Linked DNA regions of Caenorhabditis elegans. The protein of the gene in region 2 interacts with the protein of the main gene of each other region in a pairwise test. Each region holds a gene or a part of one and is shown on either strand. Other genes may lie near its edges.

The links.
Region 1: the proteins of bag-1 (region 2) and nhr-2 interact in a two-hybrid assay, tested with the Caenorhabditis elegans proteins (one large-scale study listed by BioGRID).
Region 3: the proteins of bag-1 (region 2) and ubxn-2 interact in a two-hybrid assay, tested with the Caenorhabditis elegans proteins (one large-scale study listed by BioGRID).
Region 4: the proteins of bag-1 (region 2) and metl-9 interact in a two-hybrid assay, tested with the Caenorhabditis elegans proteins (one large-scale study listed by BioGRID).

What each region holds. Positions count from the first base shown.
Region 1 is NC_003279.8:5,817,970-5,822,741, reverse strand, and holds nhr-2 (Nuclear hormone receptor family member nhr-2), read left to right. Parts: upstream 1-1,607; 5' UTR 1,608-1,633; coding exon 1,634-1,743; intron 1,744-1,822; coding exon 1,823-2,017; intron 2,018-2,588; coding exon 2,589-3,066; intron 3,067-3,116; coding exon 3,117-3,638; intron 3,639-3,756; coding exon 3,757-3,870; 3' UTR 3,871-4,268; downstream 4,269-4,772. Other genes in the region: hmg-3 (FACT complex subunit ssrp1-B), read left to right, coding at 4,617-4,772. UniProt on the Caenorhabditis elegans protein: Orphan nuclear receptor.
Region 2 is NC_003279.8:6,563,125-6,566,495, reverse strand, and holds bag-1 (BAG family molecular chaperone regulator 1), read left to right. Parts: upstream 1-2,044; 5' UTR 2,045-2,046; coding exon 2,047-2,206; intron 2,207-2,250; coding exon 2,251-2,594; intron 2,595-2,656; coding exon 2,657-2,785; 3' UTR 2,786-2,867; downstream 2,868-3,371. Other genes in the region: syp-6 (Thyroid receptor-interacting protein 11), read right to left, coding at 1-99, 146-219, 265-323; mei-2 (Meiotic spindle formation protein 2), read left to right, coding at 646-758, 805-1,091, 1,139-1,291, 1,339-1,628; tmed-3 (GOLD domain-containing protein), read right to left, coding at 2,961-3,140, 3,306-3,371. UniProt on the Caenorhabditis elegans protein: May inhibit the chaperone activity of HSP70/HSC70 by promoting substrate release in an ATP-dependent manner.
Region 3 is NC_003282.8:2,719,794-2,727,560, reverse strand, and holds ubxn-2 (UBX domain-containing protein 2), read left to right. Parts: upstream 1-1,741; coding exon 1,742-1,752; intron 1,753-1,803; coding exon 1,804-1,914; intron 1,915-1,970; coding exon 1,971-2,118; intron 2,119-2,214; coding exon 2,215-2,321; intron 2,322-4,367; coding exon 4,368-4,662; coding exon of another isoform or gene 4,663-4,731; intron 4,732-6,457; coding exon 6,458-6,546; intron 6,547-6,851; coding exon 6,852-6,996; 3' UTR 6,997-7,248; downstream 7,249-7,767. Other genes in the region: ndua-12 (putative NADH dehydrogenase [ubiquinone] 1 alpha subcomplex subunit 12), read left to right, coding at 7,727-7,767. UniProt on the Caenorhabditis elegans protein: Ubiquitin-binding protein which acts as an adapter for ATPase cdc-48.1 and/or cdc-48.2, conferring substrate specificity.
Region 4 is NC_003284.9:5,177,012-5,181,071, reverse strand, and holds metl-9 (DREV methyltransferase), read left to right. Parts: upstream 1-1,921; 5' UTR 1,922-1,957; coding exon 1,958-2,017; intron 2,018-2,073; coding exon 2,074-2,343; intron 2,344-2,389; coding exon 2,390-2,476; intron 2,477-2,755; coding exon 2,756-2,865; intron 2,866-2,913; coding exon 2,914-3,187; intron 3,188-3,237; coding exon 3,238-3,372; 3' UTR 3,373-3,553; downstream 3,554-4,060. Other genes in the region: sru-48 (Serpentine Receptor, class T), read right to left, coding at 1-237, 413-622, 668-898; Zinc finger C2HC domain-containing protein zchc-1A, read right to left, coding at 3,641-3,779.

The DNA.
Region 1 (4,772 bases), 750 kb from region 2:
GTCAATCTGCCTGCACACACACAATGTTGCCGACTGACGTAACACAGAATGATAGTTTATTGGAGGAAAACAAATGGGCTCTCGAGATAACTGGAGTAGATTACGCAGTTTTGAAATATCGCAGTATTCTTCACTGTCTATCTAAAATCTTATAAAACCAAAAATTACCTCCAAATGGGTTTCTTGGAAAACTACATGGTTCGGAAAATTCGGAATTGTTTGGTATTTTCAATTTATTTTTGAAATTTTCATACACTATTTCCAATTCTTAGTTGGAAAAATTGTTGTTAACAAATTTAAATGTTTTTTTTTGTTGAAAAGTCTTAAAATTTCAAAAAAATATCAAACAATACATATATTTTGCGAAATTTTCGAATTACTTACTTAAGTTTAGAAACGGTTTTGAATACTGAATTCTAGAATATTTCCAGCAATGATTCTCGTCACTAAATGTTTTCTCATTAGCTAAATTAAAATTGACAGCTCGGCCGTTGATGATCCCTTCTGAAAAGAATCAAGATTAGATAACCCCAATCGTTGTCTATTTTCAGAATAAATCGATATTTATAGTTTGACCTTTCCCTTCTGTCAGAATGTATTCGACCATCTGTGCTAAATTGGGGATGGATTAAAGATCCTTCATTAACCTCTATATTACTGTACTATTATAGTATTCTCTGACACATAGCCTCTCTATAGATAGGGGTTACAGAAATGAAATGTTACCCCAAAAGAGGGTTATGAGCATAGAGTTCCAGCAAAAGAATTGACCTACAAAGAACCAAACTTGGCGGCTAATTAATGTTTTGAAAAATTATGACGTCACACTATTGCTTAGATTTCAGCCATGTACTGATTTAATCACAAACATAATCTAGATATAATCTATCAAATTTCTATTCTGACTGTGTGTGTCTTTCAGAAAACCTTTAAATTTCACTTTCCGGAAGAGATGTACAACTATTTTCACTTACAGCAATACTTTTTGGTCGATATATTCCAGCTACAATGACGAAATGTTTTTGGATTAGGGACTGTAGGTGTACTGTAGCTACAGTGCTGTAGCTGAATTTAAATATTATTTTACAGCGTATGAGAACATTATAGGCTACTTGTGTTACCGCTGGGTCCGTAGTTGTTTGGCTTCGAGAGAGGGAAATTTCCTGAAAATTAATGTTCAAGAGCTCTACTATTTCTTCGACACTTTTTCTCACTGAAACTTGATAGACTCTTATTCTGCAACTCATATGCCAACTGAGAACCATACCCAATTTCTCAACAATATCTGTTAGTTTTATCCGAACGCACAAATATATTACAACACCACACTGCGAATATTTGGAAGAGATGTCATCACACCCACTTTCCATCTCTTCACTGTCACCTTCTTATTCCCATAGACCACCAGGGGCGGAGCAGCACACCGTCGTTGCAGGCAGAACGAGCAAGAGTGCGCGAGAACAGTGTGTGCAAGGTCAGATGGTCATTATGCAACCAATTCGAGCGTTCGTTGACCAACATTTTCGCGCGTTCTGTCAGTCTGTTGAATTGTACACTATTTCATAGTATACTCTTTTTTTCAATTTATTAACTCTTATTATTTTTCTATCTCTATTTCTTTTCTAGTTTTCAGATGGTTCCAATGAATCCAGAATTGATGCATTATCCAAATCAACCACATATGATGCCAGGCTATCCAATGATAAATGCATATCAACAGTCATATTTACAGAATCCGGCACAGTAAGTTTTTATATTTCTGTATCCAGTCATAACTTTTCGTGCATTCGAATTATTACAAAACACCAATTCTCACTTTCAGATGGACCCCAGAAATGCTTCTGTGTATGCAAATGCAAATGCAGCAAATGGTTCCAGGAACAGCAACAAACTCAACCTACATGCCACCACAATCTAAAAATACAGTCACTCCAAATGCCACATCACCGCTGAGCCAGATTTCGGACAGAGATTCGGGAAATGACACAATCTCTCCACCACTCACTTCACAGAACAGGTATGTATTTCTTCTGCGCGGTAAAAAGAAGAGTTGCGCAATGTTTGAGTGTTTGGGCGGTCTCTACTTTATGGTCCAATTTGTTTCACGCAATACGTAGAAACAGGTCACCTTGTGACGTGGCAACTGGGTAAGAGAGTGACAGGTCAGAAGAGGGGGCAGATGGGGGACTGTATTGATGACGTGGCAGATGTTACCTCCTAATGATGAATCATATTGAATCCTATTGGCAGGATTCAAGACATCTAAACGGGAATCTCTTTCAACTGGCAAGGTTGGAAGTGGGATTTGAAAATTCAGTTAGTGATTTCAAGTTGATGTAATTTTTACCAATTCACACCTAATTAGAACAAAGAGCGGTTAGATGCAACAAAAAATATTTTAAGATGTTGTACAAAGAGATTAGGTGAGAACAATAGAGTCAGATTTAGCGGAATTTGAGAACACGGTTGTACAGTATGCCGAGGGAATTCTACGTTTCAGCGAGTTACTAAATTAATAAATAAGGCAACGATGACTGGAAGATTACTTTATCCTTTCTATAGTAAAAACGTTAAATTCAATTTTTCAGCGCAACCACTCCAAACTACCATAATCAGCCACAAATGCAATTGACTCCACTTCAACAAGCAAAACCAGAAAAAGAAGAAATCTCACCATATGCAATTAATAATATTCTTTCTTCGACTCAAAGTTCTCCAGACAACGGAAATGAAGCCGATGATAAAGAGAACAGTTCTGTTCGTCGTAACACATTCCCAGCGTCATCTGCTTCAACAAAAAAGCCACGTGGTACTCCATATGACCGTACTAACACACCAATGACAGTAGTTCCACAAATGCCACAGTTTGCTCCAGACTTTTCAAACTATAATCTCACAATGAATGCTTGGAGTGAGTTCTTTAAAAAGGATAGATGTATGGTTTGTGGTGATAACTCTACTGGATATCATTATGGAGTACAGAGTTGTGAAGGATGCAAGGGATTTTTCAGAAGAAGTGTTCACAAGAATATCGCATATGTTTGTACCAAAGGAGAAAATTGCACAGTGAGTTTAATTAGACAAGCATTTCAAAAATATGCTATTATATTTTTCAGTTCTCATATGAAAATTGTGCGGCAAATCGTGGAGTACGTACTCGTTGTCAAGCTTGTCGATTTGCCAAATGCCTCGCAGTTGGAATGAATCGTGACAACGTTCGAGTGAACAAAGAAACTGATAAAGATGTTAAACCATCAGTGGCTTCGCCCAATTTTGAGATGACATCACAAGTGAAAGAGCTTACGGCCGCCTTTGTTGCAAACATGCCATGCTCTACTCACTTAACATCGGGAACTCATGCTATTGGAGCAATTAAGAAATTTATTGAATCAGTTCCAGCTTTGAGCTCACTTTTGCCAAAAGATGAAAAAGCACTTGAAATGAGTATTCAAAAAGTGATGAGTGGTATCTTGGCTATTCGTGCGGCTTTCACATTTGATCCAATCACTTTCTATTCCTGTGAGAATCCAGTAAATTTGCTTCGTGGCGGCATTCGTAATACAGTATTCAATGATTGTGAAGTTGCACTTCTCTCTGGAATTCATATACTTCAAATAGTCAATGGAGGTGTCGCTGAGGTAAGTAATTGTTTGGCATAATGCCAAAATTGTCGGAATATTCCCAAATGACACAATTAATCCCTACCATAACACTCAAGAAAGTAAATATTGCGCCAAGAAAGTTAACCTTTTTCAGATTTTTACGAGTTATTGTCAAGGATTACGCCATCAACTGTCTCAAACACATCTACAAGAGATAGGACTCTGCGATCGATTGCTCATGAGATTGGGACCGTATCTCAATCAATAACAAATATATTACTTCTGATAAATTCAGAACCGATTCGGTGTCTGGACACGCTTCCAACCGGTTCTGAATTCTCACAAAACTTTATTCCTGTCTTATGAATCAATATAGATTCAAAATACTTGTTTAAAGTCCCCTTCCCCCGTTACTATCATTTTCTATTCATGTTCTCAAAGTCTGATCATTTCTTACTGATCTCTTCCTCCAGGTGTGAATTTAATTCTCTATCTCACTCTCTCGTTCGGGCTATATACTGTTTCTTTTTGAATTTCCAATTGATGTTGTTTGTTAGGCTGTTACAGTACCAAAAATTATATTATTTGAAGTTTGTTAAAAACTTAATATATTTGGTACTGCTTCTTGGTTGTTGAAAAGATGAAATAAATATTATTTGATAATTTAACTATTTTGTATGCAGGAAAAAATTTGACGTGCCACAACTTTTACCGTTATTTGTCGTAATTTGTCGTAATAGTAATTTGTCAATTTATTTGTCAAAATTAGTCAATTATTAAAAAAATAATAAAATTAATAGAAACGGTCGTCAGATGCGGTGCTTGCGTATACAGTATACTTCGGTGTTCACGTATGATCGACTACCGTAGTTCTTTGTTTTCGGTTCGACGCGCGAAAAAATTAGAGTGCATTTTTCGAGAATTCATTTTTTTCATTCTTTTCCGGACTTTTCTTGTTCGCGGACGTTTTTCGCTTCTTTTCTTTACACGCGTTATTGACTGACAAGTTTCAGAATGACTGAGCTCAAATTCAAGGGAGTTTACGTGGAGGATATAGGCCATTTAACATGCGGAACGCTTACATTGACTGAAAATTCGATTAACTTCATAGGCGATAAGGGTGGAAAATCAGTTTACATCACAGGAACCGACGTCGATAAACTGAAATGG
Region 2 (3,371 bases):
AATGAAGTTTCTTCTGGTGATTTTTCACATCTTTATCGCTGACTGACATTTCTTCTGCGGCTGTTGCCGAATGTTTGACTTGTGAACAACACGAATCGACTGAAAAAATGTAATTCGTTTGCAACCAAGAACGAAAATCGCCTACGGAGTGCATGGTTTCTTGATAGGTCTCTACACTGTCTTTGAAAGCTCGAAAACTTTTTTTCGAGTAGGTTATTGCTGAAATTAAATTAATATAAACTGTTTCTTTTTTTGGTGACTTACTTTCTGATGATCGACTTGACTTTCGCTTCATTTTCCAACAAACCAAGTACTGGAGCCATTTACTATAAGAACTAAATTAAATATTAAATATATCGTTTCAAGAATTCATTGGAATGAGGCAAAAGTAAATACTTAGGATTAAAAAATCCAGCTTTATATTAAAAACTTTAAAGGCGCATATGAGATGTTATTCGGGTCCCGCAGCGCTCATGCGGGGTACGATAGTACTTCAAAGAATTACGCGGGAATTTCTTTTATGCGGGAAAACGGTTTTTTCTTGTTTACTAGTTCCTTTCTTTCGTCTAATTTTGATATCTTGTGTTTTTTTCCAATTATAAAATGTTTGTCTCTTCTTAAATTTGAAATTTTGAAATTTTTCAGATGTCAGGGCTTGACGACCGGAAAAAACTAACACATGCAAAAAATAGGAAGCCTCTCAACGACATTCCGAAATCCGCTGAAAACAGACCAAATACAAGATCTACTTCGAGTCGGTGAGTTCTACGAAAAAAGTATCTGAAGCGATTATATTTTTTTCAGACGCGGTGCGGAAAAGGACGTTCCCATCACTTTCATCGGGAGTTCTCGAACTGTGAAAGCCGATCTGCCCGAGTTCACAAATACTCGCTCAAGACGTCCATTGCATTCCGAGTCGAAGAAGGAATTGTCTCGGAACCCGGTTTCGAGAGGTGAAGAACATAGCAGTTCTTTGCCAAAATCCTCCCCAGAATCATCCGTGTCAGTCATGTCATCAAACGCGTCGTTGTGGTCCGCATGCACCGAGGAAGTGAATAAAATCGGTGTTTGTGCGAAGCGAGAGAGCAGAAGTAGGATTTGCAGAGTTTTGATTTTTCAGTTTATGTTTTCTTTTCAGATCTTCGTGTTTATAAGATGAAGAGTTTCACAAGTAACATGGAACAGATATTGTCAAACGACAACCAACTCGCTCCCACAGTCATTAGAATTCTGAATAGTAGAAACTCTTGGTGTCTCAACTCGTGCCATGCTTGTTTAACATTTATCATGGGTTGGTTTTGCTTCCTGATAAATTTATTCTAATGTTTTGTAATTCAGAAAATATCACGAGCGACAATTATGGGAAGCGATCGGCTTGCTTGAAGGCTCTTGCATCAATTACCAACAGTTTACTGGACACAATCATCGGATTTGCATCCACCAAAACTCGGCGAATTGGAGTCGATGTGGTAGCTGAAGAGCGAGCTGCAAAAGCAACAGAGTGCATTCACAATTTTCGCAAAATAGTTAAAAATCGGGACAAAATCTACAAACAGATTGACCAGGAGACAATTTACAAACTCGATGCCATTCTCGAGCGATTGAAAAAAGTTTCCAGCCATAAGTAATTTTCTTGTAAATAATTGCATACTTATTATTCAACCGATGGTTATCACCCAACTCACTGTTTATTTTATTGCTCATACATTGTGTTTCTTACATGTCCAATATAAAAACTATCATGTGCTCTCGTATTGTGACTTAAAAACAAAAATGGGCTAATTTAATGTCCCTCACAGTATCGTACGAAAACGGTGATTCATTGTCTATGGAATCGTTTTTCTCTGAAGTCTCTGAGCGAGTGCGCCCCATTGCAATCGATGTGTACACCTCGTGGAGGAACTGATTTTCGCATAAGCTTCTCGTCATTTCTAGAAGTTTCTTAATTTTCTAATAAGTTAACAATAATTTTGTTCCAATTTCTTATTTATCGACACTCGGAGGCTTCTCCCACTGCTAAAACTGTCTCAAAATCAATTTTCAGAAATGAAGGTGAATGTGTCGTGTTCATCCGTTCAAACTACAATCGACATTCTTGAGGAAAATCAAGGAGAAGACGAATCTATTTTGACACTTGGGCAGCTACGCGATCGAATCGCCACCGACAATGATGTTGATGTTGAAACCATGAAGTTGTTGCACAGAGGTTGTTTCTGATTTTTTGGAATAATGAGACAAAGTATTTTACAGGAAAGTTTCTTCAAGGCGCCGACGATGTCTCCCTTTCTACTTTAAATTTTAAAGAAAATGATAAAATCATTGTGATGGGTGGAAAAAATGCTTTGGTTGATGACGCGGGCTTCAAAATGCTCATGCAATATGAGAAGCATAATTTGAGCAATCTTCAAAAAGCCTATGATCTCAATTTGAGAGATGTCGCTGATTTGGAACGTGGTTTTCTCGAAAAACCAAAGCAGGTCGAGATGGGGAAAAAGCTGGAAAAGAAAGTGAAATATTTCAACGAAGAGGCGGAAAGACATCTGGAAACTCTTGATGGGATGAATATTATCACTGAAACTACTCCCGAAAATCAGGTGTGTCATAATTTTATTTTGTACTTTGAATAAGTTTTCGATTCAGTTCAATCAACTTTCAGGCTAAGCGAAACCGTGAAAAACGCAAGACGCTCGTAAACGGAATCCAAACTCTTCTTAATCAAAATGACGCACTTCTTCGGAGACTCCAGGAATATCAGTCAGTTCTCAACGGAGACATTCCTGAATAATTCTCAATTGCATAAAATTGCTTCGGGTTTTTATGTTATGAAACTCAGTTATAAATCAATAAATTATATTCTTATGCTATGTATCAAAGGGAGGAAAAGGGGCAAAACAACTGACGGGACCCATTAAAATGAGAAGGCTGCTAATTACAAAAAAAAGAGCAATGGTGTGAAAAAATTAATAACGAGTTCTTTTATCATTGAAAAATGATTTGAGCAGGAAAACTTGGCCAATTCCAATGAATACTACGACGGCAGATTGACCAAGGGACCAGATCATCACGCGCTCGTTGAGTTCTTCTGCACGTTTGCGACCAGTTGCTTCACGGAGACGATGATGAGTTTGATAGTCATCAATCTACAAAAAAGTTTATAAGTATGTCAAATGTCGGGTGAACAACTTTTTTAGTAAGCTCCCAGCAAAATAGAGTTGGAAAAATGAACGAATTCATAAAATTCGAAAAAGTTACGTTTTGAGCATTTTCTAATTGTAAAAATAAATCTTTTTAAATAAAAATCTTACTGTTCTCAATTTATCTCCAATAGCGACTGCATAATTTTCTAATTGAGTCATTGCATGAGCTCCTTG
Region 3 (7,767 bases), on a different chromosome or scaffold from region 2:
GACAACAGAGCAAGCGGGAAAGATGTAGGTCACAATAGGAAACAACTTCCATGGTAGGCAAGCGCGTTTTCAGGGACCTGCCCGCCAGCCTTCCTGCTCATTGTTTGCATTTTTACGTGAATTTACAAATTTATTATATAATTTTCTCATTTCTATAAATTTGATAAATATCAAATCACTAGTTAGCATAAGAAGCGGGTTGTGGCGAGAGGCAGGCGGAGGTTGGAACTTTATACAGACGTGACCTTTCGGTCATCATGAACTTATCGCGTAAGCGACCTCTCTTTATAATTCATTACTTCTTACACTCTCTTGTAATAAACTTCTTCTCTCCTTGTCACTCGCTCAATACACAACAATAATTTTTTACTTGGAAATTGTTTTAGCATCTGCAAAAAGTATTTATTTATCAGTTTTAATAAGAAAAAACGGGAAAAAGCTGTGAAAAACGAAAGAAAACAGGCGGAAAACAAAGCAAGATAAATGGCCGCTGAAACTTGTCGGCCCCTCGGCCATGGCCTAGAAACCACTTTTCCTCGTCCCTCGTAAGGAAAAAGTTGCAGTGAAGGATCCCGTGGTTTCCCGAGCAATTTGAAATTGTCAAATTAAGTTCAAAAACCAAATGATGGTTTGAAACTACAGGAATAAATCGGTATCCTGTGTCACGTAGCCTACTTGACTTGGAGTAGGATGGCTCTAAAGTTTCGGAACATTTGCGGAAACTTGGGTTGATCATGATGTGTGTAAAGGAATGAAGCTACCGTATAATACCTGCATGCAAGAATAATTTTGATTAGTCCATTTGCAGATTTTTAAAACTTGTCGTTCAAAACAACGACTCACAGCCTCCTCACGTGGAAATGACCCAACAACAGGGGGCTTGCGCGTTTCTCGTGAGCGTGGGAAAATTTTGCCGTTGAAAAGTAATTTCCTTCAGTTTTCATGGGTTTGAAATCGATTTCAAACTTTTTAATTACGTATCAATTGTAAAGCTACTTGAGGGTAAGGTGAAGGAAAAAAAAGATTTTTGATTTTTGTTCAAAAATAAAAGCGATGATATAAAAAGAAAAAAACATCTAAAAATTGAGTTTTTCTCATATTTCGTATATTTATCATCATTTTTCTAGTGGAAATTGATGTATATTTGAAAAGTAATCTTCCACCAAAGCTTATGTTATAAAAAATATGAAGAAAAACAGTAAATTGAACGTTTTCGGTAATTTCTCAATTTTCCACGCGATGCACGAGAAGTGCGCCAATGGACCGACTTTAAATTTTTTTTTCTCATAGTCAGTGGGATTTTTTTTCAATCTGATGGTTTCTTGATGCTTTTGAGTAAAATTTTGAATATTAAAAATAAAGACATTTCAAATATATTATCAAAATCCACTTTTAGACGTGATTTCTCAGAAAAATTAGAATTTTTCCTCGATTTCAGGTAAAATTTCAGTTCACAATTGTTTTTTAAGTTTTTCCCCAAAGAAACTGTTGATTTATTATCAATTCGCAGAATTTGGACGCTGCTGGAAACGTGCCCCCGACAAGAATTGCGTCAACAGCGGCTGCTGACGCACTTCCCGCACGCGCTGGCGCGTTTCTCGGCGCGTTTTATCATTATTATTTTGTTTCCTATTTCCATCGGTTTTTCGTCGTTCTTTTTTTGTTTTTCACTCATTTTTTCTCAAATTTAATATTTTTACAGTGAAAACCTTCAATTTTCCACCACAAAACCCCGGAAAAAATGAGCAGAAAGTGAGTGTCGCCCGCGATTTTCAACCTCAAAAATCGATAAATTACTTGCAGTATTCGCACGTTTCGTGACATTGGAAACAACGACGATGGGGGGCCGGACAGCGACGATTCAGGAGCCGATGCCGCCGAGAGAGGAGCCCCACAGGAATTTTACGCTGGAAGGTAGCCGCAATTCCTAGATTTTTTAATTAAAATTTTTTAAAACTTGGATTTTTCAGCGGACAAGCAGTTCAAGGACCACGTGGAGCTGCTGCTCGAGGCCCGGATAGTGAAGCCCACATTCGGAGAATCCTTCAGGCCGCCGAAGTGGTTCAGCCAGAGGGAGGAGAAGCTCCAAGAGGACGCCCGTCAGGGAGAGAAACTATTGTAAGCCGCGGTGGGCTGCTGAAATAGCTGAAAATCATTGATTTCTGCTCATTTTTTGCGCGGCGAATTTGCTTTAAAATCGATATTTTTTTGCAGAGCCTAACGCTTCACCTGTGGTCCGACGGCTTATCGATCGAAGACGGCCCGTTAATGTCTCGCCAGGACCCCAGAACTATTGAATTCTTGGAAAGCGTCGGAAAAGGGTACGGAATGACGGAAAATGGAGGATTTCTTGAAGAAAATCGAGAGAAAATTGGATTTTTTTGACGAGAAAATCAAGATTTTCGATCCAATTTTCACTGAAAATACAAAATACAAGATTTTTTCTTAACACATAAAAATCAGTTTTTTGGCAGGAAAATCATGATTTTATCGTTGAAAATGCAAAATTCTACTTAAAATTGGGACTTTTAAGCTGTTTTCATGTAGAATTTAGTCCAAAATTTGAGTTTTTCAAAGTTTTTTCATAGTAATCCTATTTTCAGCAAACTTTACCTGGAAATTGTCCAGTTTTCGCCAAAAAAAAAATCGATTTTCCCACGATTTTTATTGATTTTAACAAATAAAATATGTGAAAAATCTTCATTTTAAACTAATTTTCACTTAAAAAATGAGAAAATCTCGATTTTTTGGCCGAAAATTTAAAAATTTGATGCTAAAAATGCAATATTTCAGCTGAAAATTGCATTTTTTAAGTTATTTTTGGGCATTATTAGCTTAAAATTGATGTTTTTCACTGTTTTAAGCTGATTTTCAGCGATTTTCTCTTGAAAATTGTTCACATTTCGATTTTTTCCACTATTCTCCTCAGTTTTTAGCAGAAAAATCGACTTTTCTTCGAATTTGCTGATTTTAAAATCAAATTTCGTTTAAAAAAACTTTTATGAATTTTCACATAAAAATGATGAAAATTCTCCAATTTCTGTCGGAAGAATTCCTGAAAATGGAATTTTTATCTTTTTTTTTCAAAAAATTCAAAATTTTGCCAAAAAATCGATTTTTCTACAAATTAGTCGCTTTTAACAGCAATTTTCGTTGAAAAAAACTCAATTTTTATAACTTTTAGCATAGAAAATGTTGAAAATGGCTTAAAAATGTTCGAACTTCTTCAAGAAAAGTGCCAAAAAATTCATTTTTTTTCACATTAAAAAATTTTTTACAGAAAACCATGAAATTTCCAATTTTTCTCCAAAAATCTCCGATATTTCTCCCTGCAAATTTGAAAATTCCCCAAAAATAATTTTTGTGAAATGCCAATTTTCAGCCAAAAATTGATTTTCTAGCGATTTAGCCGTTTTAATATCAATTTTTACACATAAAAATCGGTTTTTTGGCAGGAAAATCATGATTTTATCGTTGAAAATGCAAAATTCTACTTAAAATTGGGACTTTTAAGCTGTTTTCATGTAGAATTTAGTCCAAAATTTGAGTTTTTCATATAGTTTTAATTTTATTTTCAGCAAACGCCAAAAAAATTTTGATTTTGCAACGATTTTTGGCGGCGATTTTAATATCAACATTTGTGCAAAAATGCCAATTTTAATCAATTTTCACATAAAAATTGAGAAAATCTCGGTTTTTTGCCTGAAAATTTAGCATTTTATCGCAAAAAACGCATTGTTTCAGTTGTAAATTGTTAAGAAACCGAGGAAACCTATATTTTAATCAGTTTTTTAGCAAAAAAATCGATTTTTCTACGAATTAGCTGATTTAAATGACAATTTTCGTTGGAAAAACTCAATTTTTATGAATTTTCACATAAAAATGATGAAAATTCTCCAATTTCTGTCGGAAAAATTCCAGAAAAGGCATTTTTATCCACTAAAAAAAATTCAAAATTTTCCAATATTTTCCTCAGTTTTTAGCAAAAAAATCGATTTTCCTACAAATTTGCAGATTTTAAAATCAAATTTCGTTGGAAAAACTCAATTTTGATGAATTTTCACGAAAAAATGTTGAAATTGGCTCAAAATTCTCCAATTTCTTCGAGAAAAATCCCAAAAAAAATGGAACTTTTTTTCCATTTTTTCAAAAAACTCAAATTTTTCCAATATTTTCCTCAGTTTTTAGCAAAAAAATCGATTTTTCTACAAATTAACCGATTTTAAAATCAAATTTCGTTGAAAAAAAACTCAATTGTGATGAATTTTCACGAAAAAAAAATTGAAAATTCTCCAATTTTTACCGAAAAAAGTGCCAAAAAATCCATTTTTCACTAATTTTTCTATTTTTTTTTTGTTTTTTTTCAGTGAAATCCCTCCATCACTTGTTCAACAATATCCGGGAAAAGAAATCGATTTCAAAGTGAACCGCCACCACGAGGAGTACGTTGCTCCGAAGATGAAGCCATTCGGCGGTAGTGGAGTCCGTTTGGGAAATGTTGTCCCAACAGTTTTGGGACAATCATCGTCGTCTGCCACCACTGCTGGGACATCATCTGCAACAACTGATCATAACCCGGATCATACTGCTGAAAATGAGGCAAAACAGCTGGAAGATGCTAAGAAGGAGCTGAGCACCAATATGAATGAGCCAACGACTAATGTACGGAGTTTGTACTACGGTTTTGGAGCAGCGAAAATTTTTGGAAATTTGGAGGAAAACTGCGGCTAAAATTGGCAGTTCTAAAAGAAAAATGGACGAAAAAATTCAGTAGAAATAGGCTAAAATCAACTGCAATTAGTAATTCAGTCCCCCCACAAAACTGACCTGAAAATGCAATAAATTAGAAGAAAAACGGTCGAAAATTACCTGAAAATCATAAAAATCGAAAAAAAAAATCGGTGGCCGAACTTTTCGATTTTCTAGGCCATCAGGTGAAAAGTTAGACCCCCCCACAAAACTGACCTGACCTATCACGCAGAATGTCAAAACAAAATTGGGGGACTAATTTTTCACTTGGTGGCCTAGAAATCCAAAAGTTCGGCCACCGATTTTTCATTTAATTTTTATGTTTTTCCGGTCATTATTGATAGTTTATCTTCGCATTTTCAGCCATTTTTCCACCTGAAAACTTACAAATAACGCTTCTTAAGCACCGCTTTGACACCTCCAATCTCCTTGACCATTTGGCCAAACTTTTGGATTTTATCGATTCCCAGCCACGCTTTCAGGGACATCTGTAATGTAAATTTGGTTGGAAAAATGGGATTTTTTTTCAGTAAAAAATATGAAATTTTAACGGAATGTGGGGGAAAAAAATTTGACCAAAAAACATTTTTTTCGCCATTTTTTGGCGAAAAACTCCATATTTCCTGTGAAATATGATATTTTTCGAGTTTTTCACTGAAAAATCTTGAATTGCTCGGAAAAAATCGGAAAAATCGATTTTTCAGTGGAAAATGTACGGAGTTTGTACGGTTTTGGAGCGAAAATTTGTGAAATTTGGAGGAAAACCGGCTAAAATTGGCAGTTTTAAAAAGAAAAATCAAAGAAAAAATTCAGTAGAATTAGGCTAAAATCAACTGCAAACTTTTGAAAATTAAATTTTAAATATATGTTATCAATTATACACTAGAAAAAACATCCCAGAATCAGTTTATTTCTGAAAAATTTCAAATCGGATAAAATAAGCTTCAAAAACACTCTAAAATTAAATGATTCTGATAATAAAATATTCAAAAATTCGCTTAAATTGGGAAAAAAAATCGGTGGCCGAACTTTCGGATTTCTAGACCATCAAGTGAAAAGTTAGTCCAGCCCATTTGAAAATAGCTAGACACAATTCAAAATGGCAAGAAGACGTTTGTGGAGGACTAACATCTCAGTTGGTGGCCTAGAAATTCAAAAGTTCGGCCATCGACTTTTAAAATTTTATTTTCTTCCAATTTTTCACAAAAATGTGCTGAATTACTAATTATTCGATGGGAAACCCGAAAAAAATCGGTGGCCTAACTGTTTTAAAAAGTCGGCCACCAATTTTTTTCGCGCAAATTTGACCGTTTTTTCGTCAATTTTCCAAATAAAAAATTGCTGGCCTAGAAACCCAAACCTCGGCCACCTATTTTTCACCTAAAAACCGTACCTAAACACACCATCAGGACGCTTTTCTGCTCTCCGACGCTCATTTTCTGGGAAAAAATCAGATTTTTTTCCTGAAAAAAACGTGAAAAATCAATAAAAATATCACAAAAAGGTCGTAAAATCCTTCAAAAAATCAATAAAAATTGGCAAAAAAAAATCGATAAAAATCTACAAAATTCATATGATTTTAAACACAAAAAAAACGGAGAAAAATCTACTTTTTCGAAAAAAAAAAATTTCAGGCTCTAATTATAGATTTTCAGTCGAATTGTGGCTTCTTTCCTGATATTTTGATTAATTTTAACAAAATTTTCAGATCCAAATCCGTCTGCCAAACAATCAGCGTCTCGTCGGTATTTTTAATCATTCTCACACACTTGAAGCAGTTCGTACATTCATTTGCACGTGAGTTTTCAGCCGGAAAAAGCTATTAAAAACTCTCATTTTTCACTAGAAAAAGTAGATTTTTAGAAAATTTCGAATTAAAAAAATAAAAAAATCATCTAAAAATCACATTTTTAGCCTGAAAAATTCGAAATTTTCCAATGAATAATTATTTTTTAATAATATTTTTCTGATATACACAGTGATAGAAAAATTACATTTTTCAAATTAAAAAATTACATTTTTCAAATTAAAAAATTACATTTTTCTAGTTTTTTCTTTCAAAAAACTCAAATTTTTTTAATTTAAAAATTTTGATTTTCCAGCGCCCGCCCAGATATGATCTACGCTCCATTCCAAATGATGGCTGCCTACCCTCCAAAACCATTTGAAGACGAATCACAGACTCTGAAGGATGCAAATGTGCTCAATTCGGTCGTCGCCGTGAAAATCTTGCCCACCACCAACTGAGGAGATTCCTGACGCTGCTTTTTTGGCGGGAAAATTGAAAATTGAAAATTTCATCTGAAAAAATTTCGAATTTCTACTCGTTTTTACCCCCCAAAACCTCTCAAATTCCCTGAAAATACCTGTATTTTACGCTAAATTATTTGATTTTTTCCCCCCATTTCCCAATATCGTTTTTTTTCTTTCTTCTATCACACTTTAATGCATAAAAAAAGTACACCGTTTTCTGTGAAAAATTGCGGCGATTTTTATTGATTTTTTGTTTTGGAATTTGCGAGTTTTTCAAGCTCTGAAATATTTTTTTTATTTTTTCCAGATTTTCAGAATTTTTCAATTTTTAGTGAAAAATGCACATTTTTTACAAATTTTCCATTAAAAATTCAATTTTAAAGTCAAATTTTGAATTTTTCAGATTTTTTCCCAATTTTTCAGAGAGAAAAATCCTTCTTCTGCGATTTTTTGGTGAAAAATTTAAAGTTTTCAAAAAATGTAAAAATTCACTTTTTTTGTTCCAATTTTCCACTGAAAAATCGATTTTTCCCTGATTTTTTTCAAAAAATTCAAGATTTTTCAGTGAAAAACTCGAAAAATATCATATTTCACAGGAAATATGGAGTTTTTCGCCAAAAAATTTATAAAAAATTTTTTTTTGAAAAAATTCACAAAATGCTTGGTTTTTCCTCCCCACATTCCGTTAAAATTTCCCATTTTTCCAACCAAATTTACATTACAGATGTCCCTGAAAGCGTGGCTGGGAATCGATAAAATCCAAAA
Region 4 (4,060 bases), on a different chromosome or scaffold from region 2:
TATAAGAGCAAAATTGTTGATGATAATAAGGAGAGGGACAGCTAAAGTCAACGGGATGAAGAATATGTCGTGTCGTATTTCATCATAGGTTTCGGTGTAGGAGATGAAGACAGACCCGAAGCCCAAAGGAGATCCCCATTGTCTACAATAGCCTTTTGCTGGATACATAAAGTACGTAATTCCAAATGGTGAGAAGAAAGCCAACGGAATGAATGTGTAAAAAACGTAAGACGACCACTGAAAATAAGGCGTTATTAATAATGTTGACGGTATTTTCACTATTAGATTTGCGCATGTATCCCTCTACTTCAAAGGCTCATATCATGGTTGCTTTTGAGCGAAAGGGAGTGCAAGCATGGGTGCGCGGCAATTCTACAAAACGAGCCAGTGTGGCTAATTAGATAATTGTTACCTCTGCATGTCTGGTTGGAGTTACATAGACAATCATTCGAATGATAGAAAACAATAGTGAGGAAAACATTGACCAATAGGTTCCCCACATTTGTGACAGGTAAATAATTTTTAAGTAGTGATTAGGCTCCATGGCAGCACAGCTAGCTGTAACAAATCCGGTAGAAGGCACGCGGAATGCCAAATTATCAGTTATGAAGAAAATATAATGCTGAAAAAAAAAACAGATAACAAAGAAAAAATATAACCAGCTTACCGACAACTGCATAATAACCATAGATTTAAATACGTGCGGATGGATAGCTTTGGTAGCCATGGAAGGTTGGGAACAATAAATTATTGCCATTCTGATAAAACAGATAAGTCCGAGAAATACGCATGCTGACAGGCCTAGAACACACCAAGACACTGTATTCATTTTGAATTCGTAGTTCAGGTATCTACTGTCATTGTGAACAGACATAACCAATTCGGGAAACGTGGGCATTCTTCCCAAAAGTTGATTGAGCCGGAGTGAATCAGAAAGGAGAAAAGAAGAAAACTCAAAGTCAATAACAATGGTAATCTTTAACAAAAGTGTAGAGGTGTGACTTTATCGTTCAATTCTCAGGAGATTCAACCCATAAGATCTCAGATATTCTATATTCTATGCATAACTGATGAACACGTATAAGGAGTTGGGAATAATAATGATTTTAGTTTTGAAAATAACATCTCTTAAACACGAATCAGAGAAGCGGGAAAAATATCTAAATTATTGGCTTCAGAGTCATAATTACAAATGAGAAGAAAAATGAGAAAACCGGCTCTTTGACGTAAATGATTGAAGCTTACGGGAATGACTATTTGGGATACATTTCAAGTTCTGCATGGACTTGTGCACACTTGTAGTTTTGCAGTGAAAAATTATGGCTTTACATCTGACAAATACGTGGCGAAGAAGTGGAAAGGTATTACAAATGGTTTTTTTTTGGAAAGATTTCAAAAAGTTAAAGTGTGGGTTTCAAAACTGATAGTGGAACAACTAGACAATTTGGAGGGAAATATAATATATTGTTTTTTTCTGATTTTTTAAAAATGTTTCCAAGTAGCTTTCTCCCGATTTTGGCACAACGATGTTGTGGTGGAAAATCTCAAACTTGTCATCGATAACATTGATACATCTTTTTTCTGTCCTTCAACGGCTCTTTTTCACATATTGATGGGTCCCATTCGGTGTTTATTTCAAATATATTAATTGGCACGGTATGTTTTGCATTTGGACAGTGCAATGTGGCTATTAAAAACAGGCTTTAAACTAGTTAAATTCTACTTTTTTCTTCATTTCGATACGACGAAAACAATTTTCTCGCTCATCAACTCAGACCTGTAAGTTAATTTCTCAACACACTGTTCCCGCTGCGGCAAACCCGCCATCTTTTTCCTTATTGTGAATCGAGCGCGTTTGCACACACCGGGCCAACAGTGCAAAGCGTTCCCCCATTCAAACCGTCTTCGCCACACACCACCTCTCTTCCTCTTATTGTTATCGATTTTCACTGCCAAAATGTCATTTCAACTGGAGCGGACGTACGGCTTGAGAGCCCAGCATTGGTATCAGCCAGAGGTTTGTTCTTTTTAATTCAGATAATTTTTTGAAAATTTGAAAATTAATAATTTCAGACAAGTCTCTCAGATGTTGCACAAAACTTGTTCGCCGCATCGTTGCCAGATGGGGAAACGCAGCAGTTTCTTGACAACTCCAATAAAATTGCCAGCAATTTCTTTTGGCAGACGGTTCGCAACCTTGGGGTCATGATTTTGTCGACAATCTATTCGAAAACTGATATCAATGGAATGACCGGATTCGGAAACATGTTCCTTTTCAGTGAAAATCAGTTCGCCAAGTTTCTCGCAATCGAGAAAGAATCTTGGAATTCTACCGACAAAAAGGTATTTATGGGAAATTGTTTCACCAACCCGCAATTATATATTTCAGGTGCTCGATCTTGGAGCTGGCAACGGAGACATTACAGAGCACATGCGCCCATTCTTTGAGCATGTTTATGCTACAGAGTTGTCATCGGTAAGAACTTGAAATTAAAAAAAAAGGCTTTGAATACTGTAAAACATTTTATGATGACATAATGCTTTGAAAACGTTTTCTGCGTTTCTTTTCTGCGTTTTTGGCTTAATGTCAAGCAGTTATCCCAGTTTGAATTACCTAGGACAACGAATGTATCCAAATATTTGAAAAACGCCAAGCCGGCTGTTTTGAAATTCCCACTATGAAATTTAAATTTTTTTGCAAAAACGGAAACGTTACTCCTCCTGCAAGATTACTACAAACAAAGTTTTTTTGCAGAAGATGAGAAACCGGCTCAGCTGGAAGGGATACAATGTTCTCAGTGCACTCGAGTGGGCTGAAACTGATGTTAAATTTGATTTGGTCACCGCTTTCAACCTCCTCGATCGGTAAGTGAACAGAAACTCAGATTATTCAATGAAAGCTGCAAATTTCAGCCATTACTCGCCAGGAAAGCTGTTGAACGACTTGTGGAACGTCGCTCGCCGCTCAAACTGTAATGTCATCGTGTCGCTTGTGCTTCCAGTCAGCCATTACGTGGAATTCAATCCAAATGGACGAAGCACCCGACCTGACAACTACCTGAACGTTGCTGGTCGTACCTACGCCGACCATGTTCATCATATGATCGTCAATGTTTTCAAACCGGCAAATTTTGAGGTGCTCAGATGGACAAGATTGCCGTATCTTTGCGAAGGAGATATGAACAATGTGGGTGGAAGTTTGATTTGAAAATTTTTTCAAACATCAAAATATTTCAGTCTGCTTACTACCTTCCTGACGCGATCTTTCTTCTGAAACCCATCGAGCCAGAATCGCCTTCTTCCACAATCACACAGGAAACAACTTCCGTCTCCCAAGAATCTACATCTCATGCTTCACATACCGATCTTTAGACTTTCAACATAATTTATTCACAAAATACTCAGTCACCAGTCATTTATTACGGTTCTTTCAACATACCGTTGCTTCCAAATCGTGAATCCATTTCTCCAAAGTATTTTTGCAAGTTCGTGCTCACCCATTATATCGGTACCCATGATTTTATTTTTAAGTTTTAAATGAATTTTTTGAGACAAACAGCTTTACAGGAAAAGTGCATTTTTATATGTTAAAGTATTCAAAAAAGTTTAAAAAAAAACAGAAGTATACAGAATTTGAAAATCAGAAAATACGAGAGCGAGAATTATTACGACTGTTGTTTTTGGCTTGAGAGAGACGGGAGTCGCGGGAATCGTCACGCGGACAAGCTCTGGAAGATGTTCTCGAACCACTACGACTCGCTGTTGTTGTAGTCGACGCTCTGTAAACTCTATTAATTTTTCAAAAGGAAATATGATCATATTACCACCTTGAACCATTGAAAAAATATACAAGCAGAGAGATAAAAATTAGGCAATTAAACAATGGGATGGGATAATGAGGGGAACTGAACCAAATATGAAAACCAAATTGTGAAGAAAAATGAATAAATCAAGTCAGTGGTTGATGCTCATTTTACTCATACGTTGAGCCAAGGAGATTCTGAAATGGGTAAACGAAATGCAGACGACACAAAATATAATTGGCGTGAAGAAAAACTCA